3 linked regions of the Drosophila melanogaster genome follow. Each later gene encodes a partner of the first gene's protein in a complex. Each region holds a gene or a part of one and is shown on either strand. Other genes may lie near its edges.

Region 1 (5,924 bases):
GCTTTCGCCCGCCTGCTGCTGTTTTGCATCAGATCTATTCGCATTATTCTCCTCAAGCCCGGTTTCGAAGATCGGATCTATCTCTTGCAAATCGATCTTCTTCTCCTTAATAGCGCGCTGGGGATTACAGGTTGGTCAAACCATACGTGGTTAGGGAGCCGATTAGCTCACCTTGACGCATTCCTGATAAACCCGGAAAATCGGAGCACACGCTGAGTCATCCATTTGACCTTTTAGGAAGCGTTCAGAAAACCAGCTGTTGAAACAGGCATCGTACTGCTGCTTCAGCTCGTTGCAATCCTCGCCAACGCTGCTCATTTGTTTACTAGGTATATTTTGGTTTTAATTTATAATGCCTATTATAGAGTTCCGAAAAAATGTGACAAAGGTACGTCGAACGGTACTACTGAAGAAAAGGTTTCAGAGATGTGAGAAAAAAAGAGCATATCGATATCCGAAGTTTTGCAGAAAACGAAGCTTGTCATCGAAATTCAAATGTTATTCTTAGTTTTCTTAAATTTTCAAAAGCCAAAGTGTTAAGCCGACTAAAATAATACTCTTGTTAGTACATATAAATTTAATATTAGTTGTTGGTAAAAATTTGCAAAAAAAAGTCACTGATTTTGTGTCTCTTGTTTTTAAGGTTTCTTTTTCGGTTTTGGGTTCATACAAAATGTAGTTATTAGTATTATCATTTAACGTAATGAGCGCTGAAACAAATGTTCGTGTGACTTGGCTACAACAATATGCAATGGACATGATAAAAACAGACCTCCGACCCAGCCTGAAACCGAATCGGAGGCCTGAAAGCATGTGACCCAACGTGTTGTCCATGGCCATTCCATTTTAATAGTCGAAGTGCTACAAATTTGATCTGTTTAAGTTTTGCTGATGTTTAAGCTAACGCTCGCTAGAGAGGATGGGCTGAGGTTGCAGCAACGTCTACTCCTCGTCGATCGTTTGGACTTGTTGCTGTTGCTGCTGCTGCCTATCTTGGTTGTTCTTGTGGTGCCCGCGCTGGTTACGGTTCCGGTTGTTGCGATCCCGCCGCTGGCCGAGCCAATTGCCGCCCTGGTTGTTCTGGTTGCGGTTGTAGCCACGGTCACCGCGATTGCCCATGTTGCCGCGCTGGAAGAAGTTGCCCTGCTTCATGTCGAACACCTTTTCGTTGACGTCCACCAGATTTGTGACCTTGTCCACGAATTGCATGGCCAGGGCCTGAAGACGCGATGGCTCCGAACGATGCATACCCACGGTTTCGGATGGATCGTCCAGGCTGGCCATGAGCTCCTCGTTGATGATCATCTTACTGATGATGGAGTGCACTTTCGGCACGGGCAGCTCGTACATCTGCGCCAGCGAAGGAATGCTGATCGAGGTGTAGACGTTCGAGTAGGTGAACAGGTAGGTGCGCAGCGATTCTTCCTTAATGAACTTGGTCAGCATCTCGCGCACGCGATCAGACTCGTAGAAGAGGTCCCACACTTTCGTGTTCATCTTCTTGTTGACAATGAAGTTGGCACACGCCTGCCAGTTGCCGCAACGCATAGCCTTGGCAGCAGCCACGACATGCTCACGCATCGACTCTGGTGGACCCACCAGTGATTGACGCTCCGAGGAACGCAACTGCTGGTAGAAGGTCTTACTGATCATGCGGCGGCGGGCGTCGAATTCATGGGCGGCAATGTAAGGAATTTCGAGCAGCATAGCGGACACCAGGTAGACACATTCAAGCAACTCAAGGTTGATGTGCATATGGAATGGCATCTGGCGTTGCTTCTCGATTTTCTCCTGCTCGGCAGATCGCTCGTGCTGGCGCTGAGGCAGCAGTCCTTGAGCGAGCAGCTCCTTGGGCTTGCCGGTGACCATCAAGTCCACTAGACAGTGATGCGCATCCTTGACGTTGCCCTGGCGGAAGGCACACAGACCCAGATTGGCCATCATACGGTTGTACAGGATGCGGGTGGCGGGATCGGCGGCATCAATGTTGTCCTGCAGATGAGACATCAGCACCAAATCACGGGCCTGGAACCAGTTGTCGTGCATAGCATGATGGTAGATGTGCGCCAGGATGGCCCTCGTACGGATACGATCCGTATCGTCCTTAGCGTAGATGAATTTGCACAGCTTATCCATCACGTCTACGGAGGTGGAGGTAGTGGCTGGCAGCTCACCGCGCTTCTTCTTCAGCACCTCCGGATCGAACTTATAGTAGAGATGTTCGATCTTGCGCAGGTAGATGCGACAGCGCTCGTTGTTGGTGCCAGAGCGCTCGAAATACTGCAGCACCAGTTCAATAGTCTTAACCACGTTCACCTCGTCCTTCAGCCGGGACACGTAGTCGTTGGAGTGTGGATCGCATTCCTTCAGCAGCTTAACAAATTCGTCATCCAGGCGCTCCACGGCAGCCAGTGGGCATCCCCTCACATAAAACGGTGACGTAGCGTACTCCTCATGCTCCTCGGCCACGCTCTCGCTCATAATAATGTCGGCGTTGGCCAGCAGGAGCTTCATCATGCTCTGCATTACCTCCAGAAGCAGGGCCCAGTGTTCTAGCTTCATGGGCTCGGAAATCTTCTGGTTGTAATCGTAGATAGCCGAGATGATGTTAAAATGAATCTTCACGGAGACGGCGGTTCCCAGGTTGTGCTGATCAGAGATGTCCCTCAACTCGAAAAGCAGATCGATCTGCAGACGGCGATCGGTGCGCTTCTTGCCGCGAGCCGACATAATTTCCAACAGCTTGGCCAGCACTAGGGGAACATCGATCTCTGCGTCCTTTTCGAACATCTTGGGCTTCTCTACTACATGACCCTTGACCACAGTCTCCCACTCGCCATCTTCATCGTCCTCGGCGCGCTTGCGGATCTTGGTCTTCTGCTCCTTACGCTTGTCCTTCCTCTTGTCATCATCCTTTTCCTCCTTTTCGGTAGTACGCTTCAAGAATCGCTCGCGCATGTTCTGATACTGGTTCTCATCGTCAGAGGACTCGGTCTCCGATTCAGAGTCCGAGTCCCAATCAATGGAGTCATCGGAATCGTCATCATCGGCGGGCGCAGCCTTTGCCGGCGCGGACTTCACAGCTTTCGGAACCGCTTCTGTAGGCTTCACTCCGGCGTCGCTGTCATCACCAGCATCGCCGCCGTCGCTCTCCAGGGCAACCACCTCGTCCTCGGCCTCGCTCTCCTGGTCGGGTGCTTCACGGAAACGCGACAGATCGTCCTCGAAGTCCTTGATGTACTTGCGTACCTTCTGGCGCAAAGTGCCCAGCGACTTGGAGTTGTTCTTGGAAAGGTTTTTCCTGCCCTCGCGATCCTCCCACACCTCGTTGATGAAGTCCTCCAGCTCGGCCAGGCAGCGAATGTAAAATCGCGGCGTAATGCCGTTCTCCTCCTTTGAGATGACCGGCAGTGCCTTCTGGTAGGCGCGCGTCAGATCCTCGAAGCTGCTCAGGGTATTGGGAATATCCTTGATTTTCTTGTGGTTGCGAATGGTTTTGATGATGCTGGTGAGGTTCTCGTAACGCTTCTCCTTCGTGGAGCGGACCACGCGCTTGACCTCCTCCTCATCGTCGCTGAATTGCTGTTTTCCACGGAAAGGAATAGATTAGTAATGGATGAGTTTCACATCTGGGCGGCACTTACGAAGGCGCTGGCTTTGTTGAAGTTGGTCGCTTGGATCTCCTCCTCGCTGGACTCGGACTCCGATTCGGACCCGTTGGCAAAGAAACGCGACATCTTTGTTGACTTTCTACGCGGCCGTTTGTCTGCGCCTGGAATCACAATTTATTAGTTTCGGGCCACATAAGATTTTGCTTTGTTGAGGTTATGTTTGAGCGGCCAACATGGCGTTTTGCAAAAACGTATGCCAAATATTTCCGCATGACATTTGGTTGTTTCATTCGAAGCCCTGGCAGAAATCGGTTCACTGCCTTGCTTTTTAAGTGTTTACTACCACCTGGCGTTTGATATTTCACAATAAACTTACTATTTTACAGCAAAACTAAACGATGTCGAATGCACAAGACATCAAAAAGAGAGACTAGAGATGGGCGATGGTTGCATGTGTTTTCGTTGGCGATATATATTGCTCAAAGTCACGGGGCGGGGCGTTTGATTTATGTATTAATAATAACTGTCATGTTGAGAAATGATTACTCTCTACTAATATTCGTAAGGAGAGCGTTTTAAACATTTTTTTAAATGTAACAGAACATTTGTTTTTTTATGTGGCGGACCAACAGTTACCGAAATCTATCCCATCTCTAAGGGAGTCACTGTTTTGACTGAATGCGAGCGCGTACTCATCGATAACGAAATGCCGGCACTTCTCGAGATATATCGATATCAAGTAACCGGTTGGGCGGTACATTTAAAATAAATCCATTAAATTACATAGCAAATATATCATCAAAATGAAATAGTGGCCATTTAAGTAACTATTCAAAATAATGTTAAAAAGATAATCAGTGATCAATGCTTACATAGATGTTGCATTGGTGACCTGCAACATTTGAAGTTGCCAGCAACATGTTGCTGCGCTTGCGTGCAAAAGTGCCGGCATTTCTTAGCCAAACAGAGTGGGGTTCCCATTCTGGCGCCCCAACCAATCTCCGGATCAATTGGTCCGGCCAACATGCAGCCAGGCAGCCAAGGAAAGGCCAAAGCAAAACCAAGCCAAACGTTTTCGCGCGCGCCAACAAGTCGCATGCGTTCTCTCCTCCGCGCCGACGGACAGTTCAAGTTCAAAAACTCAATTTTTCGGATGTACTCGGCGATTTGGCAGCGTTGATGCCAATATCCGGCGATAGAGTCTCAAGTGCTTTTGCGGCCCGCTAAAAAGAATTCAATAAATTCATTCATTTGAATTCTTGTGTGTTGTGTTGTGTCTTGGCGGTGTAAACAAAATTTGGCCCAAGTGTGCGGTGTGTGCGTGGCATGTGCTCTGCCCATCCACATCCTGTTTAAGTGGCATCCTAAATGAGATGCGACGCCCGGAATCGCTTGAAAACACGAGTAACACGGAAAACACTTTAACGCAAATGTAAGCATAATAAATAATAACTGCAGATTGATGGAGATGTGTGTATCTGCGGTCTCGGAAATGGCAAATTAAAAATTGATCGGTTAATCTCGCGTAATCGCCCTTTTCCTGGCTTTTCGACAGCTGACATTCGAGAGTGCATATGGCGGCTTTATTATCCGGAGAAATTGATGAGAGCTCCATAAATTCCCTGTCCGCCTATCGACATTTGAATCCGTAAAGGGTCCGTGAAATAGTACGGGTTTCTGCTCCTTGACTCCTCCGAAACTGCAGCTGCAATCGTAAATTGTGTGTGGGTGCAAAAGCTTATATGCATTTACATACATCCAAATCGGCAAAAACGGGCCCCTTTTTCCTGGGGTTCTGTTTCTGTTTCCGTTACGCTTTTGTGCTGTTTATTTTGCTTCCGTTTTCCGTTGGATTGTTACGGCTTGTGCGGCCCCATAAATCCTATATATGGGTTGGATATTTTCAAAACCGATGCTCGAAACAGACTATAGAAATTTCCATTTAAATGCGATTTCTGCCCTTGCTCGAGCATAGATTTCCTGTTGATTGAATACAAATGTTGAGTTACGCAATTTCAATGAATAATTCCTAATAACTACTCCCACGTTCCTGCCTCCATTTTAATTTAGTTTTTATTGATAAAACCGATGCACTTCTTTTTCATTCAATTCGTCATCATCCATTACACAGAAAAAATGGCTTTATATTTAGATAAATATTTTCCTGAAATAAAGTATTTCTTATTCGATAATATTATATTTTTAATAATTTGCCTTCTCTCAATTTGAAAATATTTTAATTCCTATGGATATTTTAATATAATGGAGCATATTGTAAAATTAATGTCCGCTTACTACAAAACTCTTTTGCGA
Region 2 (6,411 bases), on another chromosome or scaffold:
TCATGAGTACCGTATAGCACATTGTCCAAAATTTGTTCACGTGGACCGAGATTCGCGGCAGCGGCACAGACAGTGTGACCAGGGGCGCGCACCGCGGAGGATCCGCGAGGCCATGGCATTAGTGCCAAGTTCGCAAGAAAATACTAGTTGAGTGTGCGAAGAAGGCGCGGGCTCATATTATCGAGGCAAATTTTCAGAGGCAGAATATTTTTGTTTTGCTTGCTATAAAAGCTTTTCTAAATTTACTCGAATTTATTCCCAACGAATATGGTTTTACCTAAGAAAGATGTCACTTTTTTAAAATAAGTCAAGCGTATGTGATAATACAATTTACAATACTTTTGAATGCATTTTTTATTTATGGGCAATTAAAAAACCTAATGTTAAAAAGCCACGCTTCCAAGAACGAACTTTGTAAAACTATAGAAGAACCCGCATTTGTTTAGTTTGCAAACTACATTTTAATGTAGTTTTAGCTCTGTCGAAATATAAATTTAAAGGGACTGGTTTATAAATCACTGTACGTATAAGGGAAGCTTGGTTCATCCTGAAATCTGATAAATAAGAATTAGAATTTTTGAATTAAACCAATAATAACCACTTTTCATTTCTTTGATTCCCAAGGTTCTCATTCGACAATTTCACTTTTCAATTTTTTAGAACATAGTTATTTTATTCGAAAGTACTTTAATTAGTATCGGTCCTACAACCATCTCAATTTTAACTATCTGGCACAAGCTTTGGATAGATAGATATAATATACCGGCCGACTGAGCTCTACACCAATAAAGTACAAGTCGGATGAAATAAAAACTTATTAAGAATATTATGCTGGGTATATACGATGATGAAAATAAAAATTAACGACGCTTAACGCTGGTCCACTCGCCATCATCGCCAGCTTTGTTCTCTGAAAGATGTAACGCATTGATAAGAATGGAAATTAGGTTTGCTGCTGAGATTACTTACCCTTTTCCTGGGCTTGATCGCGCTTAGCTGCTGGTTTTTCCTCACGGGTCGCAGGAGCAGTACGCCAGTTTCCGCCTACTCCGCCACTGGCTGCCTCCTTAGGAGCAGAGCCGCGTTGATCGCCACGAGTCTCGCGCACATCTCGGTCGCGCCTCTCAGCTGGGCGACGGGTTTCCCGATCAGCGTGGCGTGGAGCGTCGCGCCAGTTCCCTCCAGTTTCCCGCTGAGGCTCGTCGGTACGACGCGCCCCGTCGGCGCGGCGGAATCCACCGCGCTCATCGTCACGATCCCGGCGAGGACCATCGTCACGGTCACGCCGAGGCCCATCATCCCTGTCGCGACGAGCCCCATCAATGCGGAAATCGCGGTCACGTTCTCCGCCACGCCGCCACTTGTCATCGCGCGATTGCGGAGCGCCACTGTCTTTGGGAGCAGCTGCACGCTGTGAATCTGGCTCTCGTCGCACACGCCAAGAGGAGTCCGCTCCCTCGTTGTCCTTGCGGTCACGGTCACCGCCTCGTTCAATGCGCTCTCCACCACGCTCGAGGCGTTCTCCACCGCGCTCGATCCGTTCTCCTCCGCGCTCGATACGCTCGCCACCACGGTCGTTGCGTTCACTGGCCGCAGGTGCAGCACGACGCCACTCGCTGGATCCGCCGTTAGATGCGCTTGGACGGTCACCGCCTCGAGGACGCCATGTGTCACGGTCCTTTTCAGTGCGTTCGCGCTCCGAGGCCAACTCCCTGGACAGGCGGTCTCGATCTTCCTTGATTTTACGCTCAGCTTCCTCCTCCTTGGCACGCTGCTTTTCGTATTGGGCACGACGCTTTTCGTCCTCAGCCTCACGCTCCAAACGGCGGGCTTCTGCTGCGGCGCGCTCTTCGGCAGCCTGTGCCAAGCGAATCTCTTCCTCCTTGCGAAGACGCTCCTCCTCTTTCTCGCGAAGGAAGGCCTGTCGGCGCTCCTCGCGGCGTCGAATAATGCGGTCGGCTAAGCGCTTTTTGCGCTCTGCCTCCAGAGCAGCCTCAAACTTTTTGAGCTTTTCGACGTAGAGGGAGGCACGTTCTTTTTTAAGGGCCTCAAGGAATTCATCCCGGTCCGGATACATGCGCTTGAGACGCTCCTGCTGGGCGACGGCATCCTTCCGTTCGGCAATGGCATTCTCGATGCGTGTCTTCTCGGTTGCTTCCCAGAACTCCTTGTCCTTAACCTGCTTTTCGGCCAAGTATTTTTCGAAAAGCGGTATCTCCTCCAGGCGCTTGGCGCGTTCGAAGTAGTCGATTTTCTTCTCTTGCGATTTGAGTTTCGACTGCAGTTCCTTGGCCTCGCGCTGAAGTTCCTCGCTTTCCCGCTTGGCGATCTGCTCGGCGTCCAACTTCTTAATGCCTTCCTCATCCAGCTTGGAAAGCATCTTCTTACCATGAGCCGTCTGCGAGATTTGCTGAACCTTCTCCTTGAGACTCTTCTCCCGGATGGCTTGGATTTCGTTCTGATGGCGCTTGCGCTCTCTTTCTTCTTGCTCCTGCTCGAGGCGCTTCTGTTCGGCCAGTTTGGCCTTCCGCGATTCCTCCTCCTGACGCCGCGCCTCTTCCTCTTCACGAGCATTATTCTGCTTCTCGATGTACTCCTTTCTGTCCTCGATGATCTTCTGTCGCTGAAGAATACGCTGGTGCTCGCGATCCTTGATCTCATGGTAATGGTTTACCATCTGGTTGCGGAGCTTGGCCCGCTGGTCACGTTCACGGTTCGGGTAGACGATTGAAACTGCCCGTGTCAGAACAGTAGACATATTAACCAACTGAGAGCGGATCTGTTCCGAGGGCATCGATTGCAAAGCGGGTCCGTCGGGGCGGTACTCGCGTTGACTCTCGGTCAGATCAGTGCCGAAATAGATACTGTTCTTCTGGTGGTCAATACGAATCTGCATGTCATTGTGACGCACGGACTCGACCAGCAGTTTTTCCAATTCAAAAATGTTGCAAAAACTGGCCAGCTGCAAGAGACGCTGGAACTTAATACTCTCATAAACCTGAGAGATCTGACGAATCAGACGCATTATAGTCACGTCCTTCAGCGATTGAATGTAAGGAGTGAGCAGAGCGTTTTCGGGCCCGTTCTCAATGAAGTCCACGATAGACTGAATGCGCTTGCACAGATTCAGTGGGTTGAAATCCACCTCCAACCAGTTGTATAGATTGCGAAAGTCCTCAGATACGAGTTGAGGAACATTCAAGCGCACCTGTGTTTATGAATTAGTCATAAGTCATTACTATATTGCGTGATACTTACCACTTCACGAATAAGGGAGACGCGAGTAGGTGGCTGGGGCAGGCCCAAAAGCACGGCCAACTTCTGCGCCTTCTCCAGGGGGCTCTTGTCCGCCTCAATAAACCTGTCGAACTCTGGATGGGCCGAAGGCAACGGAATAGAAAGAGTGGCCAGGAGAACGTGGGCAGCCATACGCTGCAAGTCGTCCTTCGTCAGGTTCTTCTTCAGCTCGCGCGTCAGCTGGAAGAGCTTCAGCAGCGCTGCAGCGTGGAACAACTGGTTGCCGGCCTTGCTAAAGACCATGGCTAATTTTTGGTAGTAGTTGGCCATGGTTTTGGGCACGGGTGTCTTCTTGGACAGAGCCATCAGGCCATGGATATCCTCGATTGCCTTGTAGGCCTCTTGCCACAGCTCCATCTGGATGGCCGAGTCAAGAAGGTACAACCTGGTGTCCAAGCAGAGCTGCTGCGTTTCCACCTTGTTGATCGAGACACCGGTGGTCTGGTTGCTGCTCTTGCAAATGTCCTCCAAGTGTTTGCGCAGCTTGTCGCACAAGCGGCGAAACTCGCTCTTGCGGTTGTACTTAAGGCAGAACTGGAAGGCCATGCGAGCGATATCGTGGTACAGCGCCTCGCAATGCGTGTTTACGCGCAGCAGCTCTAGACACTGGCAGTAGGACTCCCACAGGAACTTGACCCACGGGAGCAGAATAGTGCGGTCGGAGCGGTCCTGTGCGTCCTCGCCACACACTGCGCTCATTAGGATGCTCTCTGGCGTGGCAATGTTGTCCAGGTCATCCAGCTCCAGAACAGCAACGGCCGCCGAGGACTGGGCTTGGGCAGCCTCTGTGTGCTCTTCGGCCATTTTCAGGTAGCCGCGGATTACATTTTCCAGAGAGTTCACGTTCACCAGCTGGAACATGTTCCGGTACTGGAATAGTCCCTCCTTGGCGATGTGCGACTTCTTGAGTTCCACGCAGAGGTACAGGTACTTGAACATGAGCGGTTCGATGACCGTCTCCGAGTAGGCATAGTTCCATCGCTTGTTCCGGAAAACTTCCTGCAGCGTGTCCAGCGCCCTAAGCGGCTTTCCCACTTCAATGAACTCTGTGACGAAGAGAGCGGCGTCGAGTTAAGAGAGCACACGATTCGCGAAGACGAAAGTTTCTCTTCAGACACCGCATGGAAAATTTTCAGCACTCACCATTAGCCCTTTTTAGGGCGTTTTCCGGACGTTGCGTATAGCGGGCCATTTCCGATCGCTTTACTTACTTGCGGCGGCACTTCAAGTTGATTTTGATAGCAGGTCTGGAGCGTTTTGAGACCTGGGGCTGCTGAAAATTGTATAAATCTTCGGCTCGCCTACGTGTGGCTGCAATATTAATGCAAAATGGCCGAGTCGACGGCACGCAGGGCTACACCTGGCTGCGTTATCGATAGTTCAGGCCGATAGTTGCCGATGGTCAGCTAATCGCAGTGCAACTCCGCTAGCTCACAGCAATAACACGAGGAGTAATGAAGTCGCTCTAGAATATAAATAAACAATTCATTAATTAAAATAGCGACATGGTCAACTGGAGGAAGTTTATCTTGTGGTTCGCCCAGGAGCATGTCGACTTTCGCGTGCAGGAGTTTGATTCGCTGGTCAAAATGTTTGGACTTCAGGTCCGGCGGCTTACAGAACACACCAGGGTAAAGTGTTTTAGTACCAGAATTTTGAAAACGCAAGATTAACAAATTCCACCTCCCCTATAACTTTTAAAACCTGTGGTTTAATGTTATATCCAAACTTGGAATTTTATTAATATGTTTAATATTTTTAACGTAAAAAAATTTTATATGTATTTGTAAGAGGAAGAAAATAGTAAACTATATTTTCAAAAGTGTTTTCAACAGGTAGAAATTTAGCATTACTAGCTATAAATTATATACGATCGTTGAGATCTCAGGAACTACAAAACCTAAAAGGTTTCGAAAGGATACCTGATACCTGGTATACATACATTACGAATACGATCCGCGTACCTGTTAGATGTTTTTAGTGTAGGATACTTTGATTACATTATTTTTAGAGCTTGCGACACATATATAAATACTTCTGTAGTATAGAAGCATCAGCATATATAGTTATATTTATATTTTTTAATTTCGGTATTACAGAAACCATTTTGGTTGGTCGAATTTCGGGACACGGATACTGCGTTGCTATATGCATCCAGGTCCGTTTCGTTGCGCGCCATGTTCGAGCTCTACGCCCACTCCAACAAATTACCCGAGTTTCACCAGAGGCTACGGAATCATGTTACCGCGAACTGGCATTCGCTTGCGGAATACTTTCGGGTGGATGCCAGTTTTAAGATCGTTGTGGAGACCTACAACAAGCACTTCAGCCAGAGGGAAAAGGTTGAGAAAATCGAGTCCATGGATTACCTGCCAATAGAGGGAACGGTCAATCTGGAGAAACCCGTGGTGGAGTGGTGGTACATCGAGTTTTGGGGCTTGGATCCAACGGCTGTGCCACCTGAGCCGGAGGACATTCTGTTTGGTCGGCTGATGGCCCATGGTCAGCGGCATTTGATCAAGGAGCTTTCGCTGAAGCATCGTAAGTTTATCGGTAACACCAGCATGGACGCCCAGCTGAGCCTGCTAATGGCCAACCAAGCGATGGTACGCAATGGGGATCTGGTATTTGATCCGTTTGTGGGAACGGGCTCGCTTTTGGTAAGCGCCGCCAAGTGGGGCGGGTATGTCCTGGGAGCGGACATAGACTACATGATGGTGCACGCCCGCTGCCGGCCGAGCCGGATAACCCAAAAAGTGCGGGAGAAGGACGAGAGCATTCGGGCCAACTTGAAGCAGTACGGCTGCGCTGATCGCTACATGGATGTGGTGGTGGCCGATTTCTCCAACCCGGTGTGGCATTCCCGCATCTCGTTCGACTGCATAATAACAGATCGTAGGTTTATTCTTTTTTATACCAAACTTAAAATGTTCATTCTTTGGTAATTTAAGCTCCCTATGGAATAAGAGAGGCCACGGAAAAGGTGGAGAAAAAGGCTAGCGTAAAGGCCAACACTAGAAGTGACAGCATGGTGCATTACCCATCAACGTCGCACTATTCCTTGCAGAGTCTCTATGGGGATCTTCTCGAGTTCTCTGCGAGGCACCTAAAACT
Region 3 (3,600 bases), on another chromosome or scaffold:
TTCATATGAAAAGTTTTTTTTTTAATTAATTTATATATTAAGGCATACGGGGAAATCTTGGAGCCCCTTTGTGTCCTTCTTTCATATGAAAAGTGTGTTTTTTTATGCTCTTTAGAGTACCTTTTATTCTTCACCAGGATCAAGAATCAGCGCAGTCGATCTGGCCATGTTTGTCCGCATGAACGTCAAGATCTCATGAACTATAAATGCTAGAAGATTAAGGATGCAGATTGCACAGAAAAGTGTAGGCGTAGCTCAAGTTTATCCTGGTGCTACCAAACAATTGAAAGTTAAGTAACGCATATGATGCAACGAGGTGCTGGTTATAAAATGTAAGAAACTAGTTTTTAATAGAATGTGTTGTCATATTTCGTCACAAAATTTGATATTATAACTTTTGTGTGCCGAAGGTACGATCATCAAAGTTTGATATTAAAGAATATAAATATTACTATTCTTACAATAAACCCAGCACCGATGCGACTCCCTGAAACCCTATAGAATAGTGAAGCTCACCAAAGACTGAAACACAACATTTTGTTTTAGCAGTTGGGTGCTAAATTTTCAGTTGCACATGCATTTATTTTGTTCCTGGTGATGAATACTGTTGTGTTTAAGAGTCTTCAGTAGATTCGAATGCTCCTACAAACGCCACATGGTCGTTTAGTGTAGGTGTCACAGGATTCATGCTGATTCTTCAATTGAGTTATAAAAAAGATAATCCCATATATATTTTCTTTAGTATGGAATGTCATTCTGACCAGAGTAATCGATACAAGTTTTGGTTTTTTTTTTTGGCGATCAGAGCACTTTATTACGTAGACCCCCATTGATAAAAAACACAATCAGTTTACAATGCCACCCTTAGTAGATATTACCACTTCAACAAACGCCGTCGTTCTAGGCGGTGGGCAGGAAGGTGAGCTTTTCGTTAAGCTGCAGCTGGGTTTTGATGAGCTGGGAGAGCGTGATGACCAGCAGAAGGTTGCGTACGTTGGCGTTGAACATCTGAGTGAACTGCTCGTGGGTCATGTGCGGCACGGAGTGGATAAGGTCTAGCAGCTGGCGTCCGACGGCGTTGTCGGGGGTTACCTTGTGAGCGATCACGTCGTCAACGTACTTGAGAATAAGATCCAGCAGGGACTGCAGCTTCGTGGAGGCCTCCGAGATTTGGGCCAGGTCCAGCATTGGCGGAACGGTCTTGGGACGGTGAGCGGGCGAAACGCCTACGGTCTTCTGAAGCAGCTTGAGCCCAAATGTCTCCGGCTCGTAGCTGGTCAGCTCGACAGGAATGGGCGTGAACATGCAGCCGCTCTTGCCGCCGGGAACTCCTAGTTGAATGCAGACATAAGCACGCAGACCCATACGTCCGCCCTGCAGCGAAGTGTCCACGGTGAGGTGAACCGGGTTGTTGCATTCGCGGGCGTAATACTCGTGGATCACCGAGCTGTGGTTGGTAACGTCGTTGCCGGTGGCCCACCAGCCTACCACGCTCTCGTTGGAGTTCACCTTGCGGTTGAGGTCGTACATGTCCAGGGCGTAGCTCAGCTCTGCCTCCACCTGGTCATCGTGCTCCTTGTGCGGCACACAGAAACAGTTGGTAACCTCCACCACACCTTTGTCCACAGAGCCGAGCAGGGTGCCGATGACGCGGTGCGAGTCCGCGTTCCGCCGCTCGAAGGCGTCCACCACCTGGAAAAGCACCACCGGGTGCACGCGCACGGTCAGATTGAGAGCCGACATGGTAATTTTCGGTGGCCAAGATTTGCAAGGAAAATTTCCGCAATAATTTCTATTCAGCCACGCTGCGCGTATGTTTTAGGGATGCAAGAAAAGGGCCTATCGATAGTGCGGGTGGGGGTTGATGGCTTTTGGAGCTATCGGTGCGGTCGTGCGTGGCCTATCGTTTTATCGATGTAAAACCGGTGGCTAGCGTTAGTTAATCAAATACTATTCAAATTTGAATATGTCGGAGATGCCAAGCGCGACTTTTCATTTACTTCAGCGTCCATATTGTCCAGCACATCAAGTCGCCTGCGTGTTGTTTCTTCTGTCGTTCTAAGCAGACTAATTTACTCAAGCGTCGCCTTCGCGATGCTTTTCTTCTATTCCTCACCTTCACTCAATTATTTCATCCTTACTTCGTTTCCAGAAACTATACAACAACAACAACAGCCACACAAATGATGCCCACTCAATAACGGAACGCTTTCCGTGAATTTCATTGCTCGCTGCTCATTCTTAACATAACGGATCAATAACAAAATGTCGGTTACATTCTACTACTCAATCTTGCTTGTGAAATTTTGCTGATCAAACGTGCTTAAAGCGAATTATTAAATTTAATAAAATGCCTGGAAAGAGATAAACTTTGAAGTTACCCAATTAATAAACTATAACCACCAGTTGGGAAAATCTTTTCCAGAATAAGTATAAATGTTTTCTGTATCCCGTAAGACCGTCTACTATTTTTTAAAAGGCTCGGAAAAAGAGGACAGGCTTGAACCTAAGAGTGGTGGTGGGCGGAAAATTAAAATTAAAAAGCGTGTAGACCGCTTTATTATGCGAATAGAGATTGCGAACCCCCGGTCAGATCACTTGCTCTGGATATCAGGCAAGAGTGTCACCTAACTGTGTCACACGAAACTGTGCGCCAAGTCATCCTACGCCATAGATACTCTTCAAGAGTTGCGAGGAAAAATCCTTTGCTATCAGATGCCAATATGGAAAAGCGTCATTAATTCGCTGTGAACAAGGTGGATCATCCAGAAGAGTACTGGGATGACGTCATATTTGGTGACGAAACAAAAATTATGCTCTTTTATAACGACGGGCCAAGCAGAGTATGGCGCAAACCGCTGAGTGCGCTAGAAAAACAAAATATCATTCCAACGATAAAATTTGGAAAAATGTCACTGATGGTTTGTGGCTGTATCACCAGCCATGGAGTGGGAAAACTAGCCTTAATTTAGAGCACAATAAATGCCGTGCAATATCTAGGAATCTTAAAAAACAAATTTGAAGGCCGGTGCAGAAAAATTTGGTCTAGTTAGCAACAACAAGCCAAATTTTATATTTTAAGAGGACATGATCAGAAACATAAAGAGTGCAATGTACGCACCTGGCGCCCTTATAACTGTGGTAAAGTGATCGATACGCCCCCTCAGAGTCCTGATCTGAACCCCATTTAAAATTTGTGGACCTACTTAAAGAAGAAGGTGGCAAAAAGGGACCTAAAACACGACAACAGCTTATGACTGTAATAGTCGAAGAGTGTGAAAAGATCCCGTTTGAATATGACCTGCAAAAACTTGTCCATTCCATGAAAAAAGGGCTTCAACTTGTAGCTAAAGCCAATGGGGAACATACTACATACCAAAACTTTTAAAATTTTAATAAAATAATTTAAAAATTTAGGATTAAACATCGATTTAGTGTTTTGTGTAAAGAGTTTCTTGACAGTCTCAAAAGTGTTTAAACTTGGAATTTGTTGTTTTTTTTCTTGTATATTTAATATTTTTAATTTGTTTTTTGATTTATAAGTAAAATAAATATTGTTTAATTATATTTTATAAAAAAAATGCGTTTAATTAAGCAAAA

What was found. Proteins that work in one complex are often made in the same cells at the same time.
Region 2: eIF3c (region 1) and eIF3a share a complex: the UniProt entries of both Drosophila melanogaster proteins name them as parts of the eukaryotic translation initiation factor 3 (eIF-3) complex.
Region 3: eIF3c (region 1) and eIF3f1 share a complex: the UniProt entries of both Drosophila melanogaster proteins name them as parts of the eukaryotic translation initiation factor 3 (eIF-3) complex.

The regions. Positions count from the first base shown.
Region 1 is NT_033778.4:17,663,880-17,669,803, reverse strand, and holds eIF3c (eukaryotic translation initiation factor 3 subunit c), read right to left. Parts: upstream 4,127-5,924; 5' UTR 3,988-4,126; intron 3,773-3,987; 5' UTR 3,738-3,772; coding exon 3,645-3,737; intron 3,583-3,644; coding exon 943-3,582; 3' UTR 819-942; exon of another isoform or gene 773-818; 3' UTR 529-772; downstream 1-528. Other genes in the region: CG30108 (uncharacterized protein), read right to left, coding at 1-117, 172-318. UniProt on the Drosophila melanogaster protein: Component of the eukaryotic translation initiation factor 3 (eIF-3) complex, which is involved in protein synthesis of a specialized repertoire of mRNAs and, together with other initiation factors, stimulates binding of mRNA and methionyl-tRNAi to the 40S ribosome.
Region 2 is NT_033777.3:4,429,259-4,435,669, forward strand, and holds eIF3a (eukaryotic translation initiation factor 3 subunit a), read right to left. Parts: upstream 4,638-6,411; 5' UTR 4,490-4,637; coding exon 4,441-4,489; intron 4,344-4,440; coding exon 3,259-4,343; intron 3,209-3,258; coding exon 970-3,208; intron 911-969; coding exon 861-910; 3' UTR 540-860; downstream 1-539. Other genes in the region: CG1074 (uncharacterized protein), read left to right, coding at 4,803-4,928, 5,397-6,192, 6,249-6,411. UniProt on the Drosophila melanogaster protein: RNA-binding component of the eukaryotic translation initiation factor 3 (eIF-3) complex, which is involved in protein synthesis of a specialized repertoire of mRNAs and, together with other initiation factors, stimulates binding of mRNA and methionyl-tRNAi to the 40S ribosome.
Region 3 is NT_033777.3:4,712,343-4,715,942, forward strand, and holds eIF3f1 (eukaryotic translation initiation factor 3 subunit f1), read right to left. Parts: upstream 1,841-3,600; 5' UTR 1,744-1,840; coding exon 901-1,743; 3' UTR 540-900; downstream 1-539. UniProt on the Drosophila melanogaster protein: Component of the eukaryotic translation initiation factor 3 (eIF-3) complex, which is involved in protein synthesis of a specialized repertoire of mRNAs and, together with other initiation factors, stimulates binding of mRNA and methionyl-tRNAi to the 40S ribosome.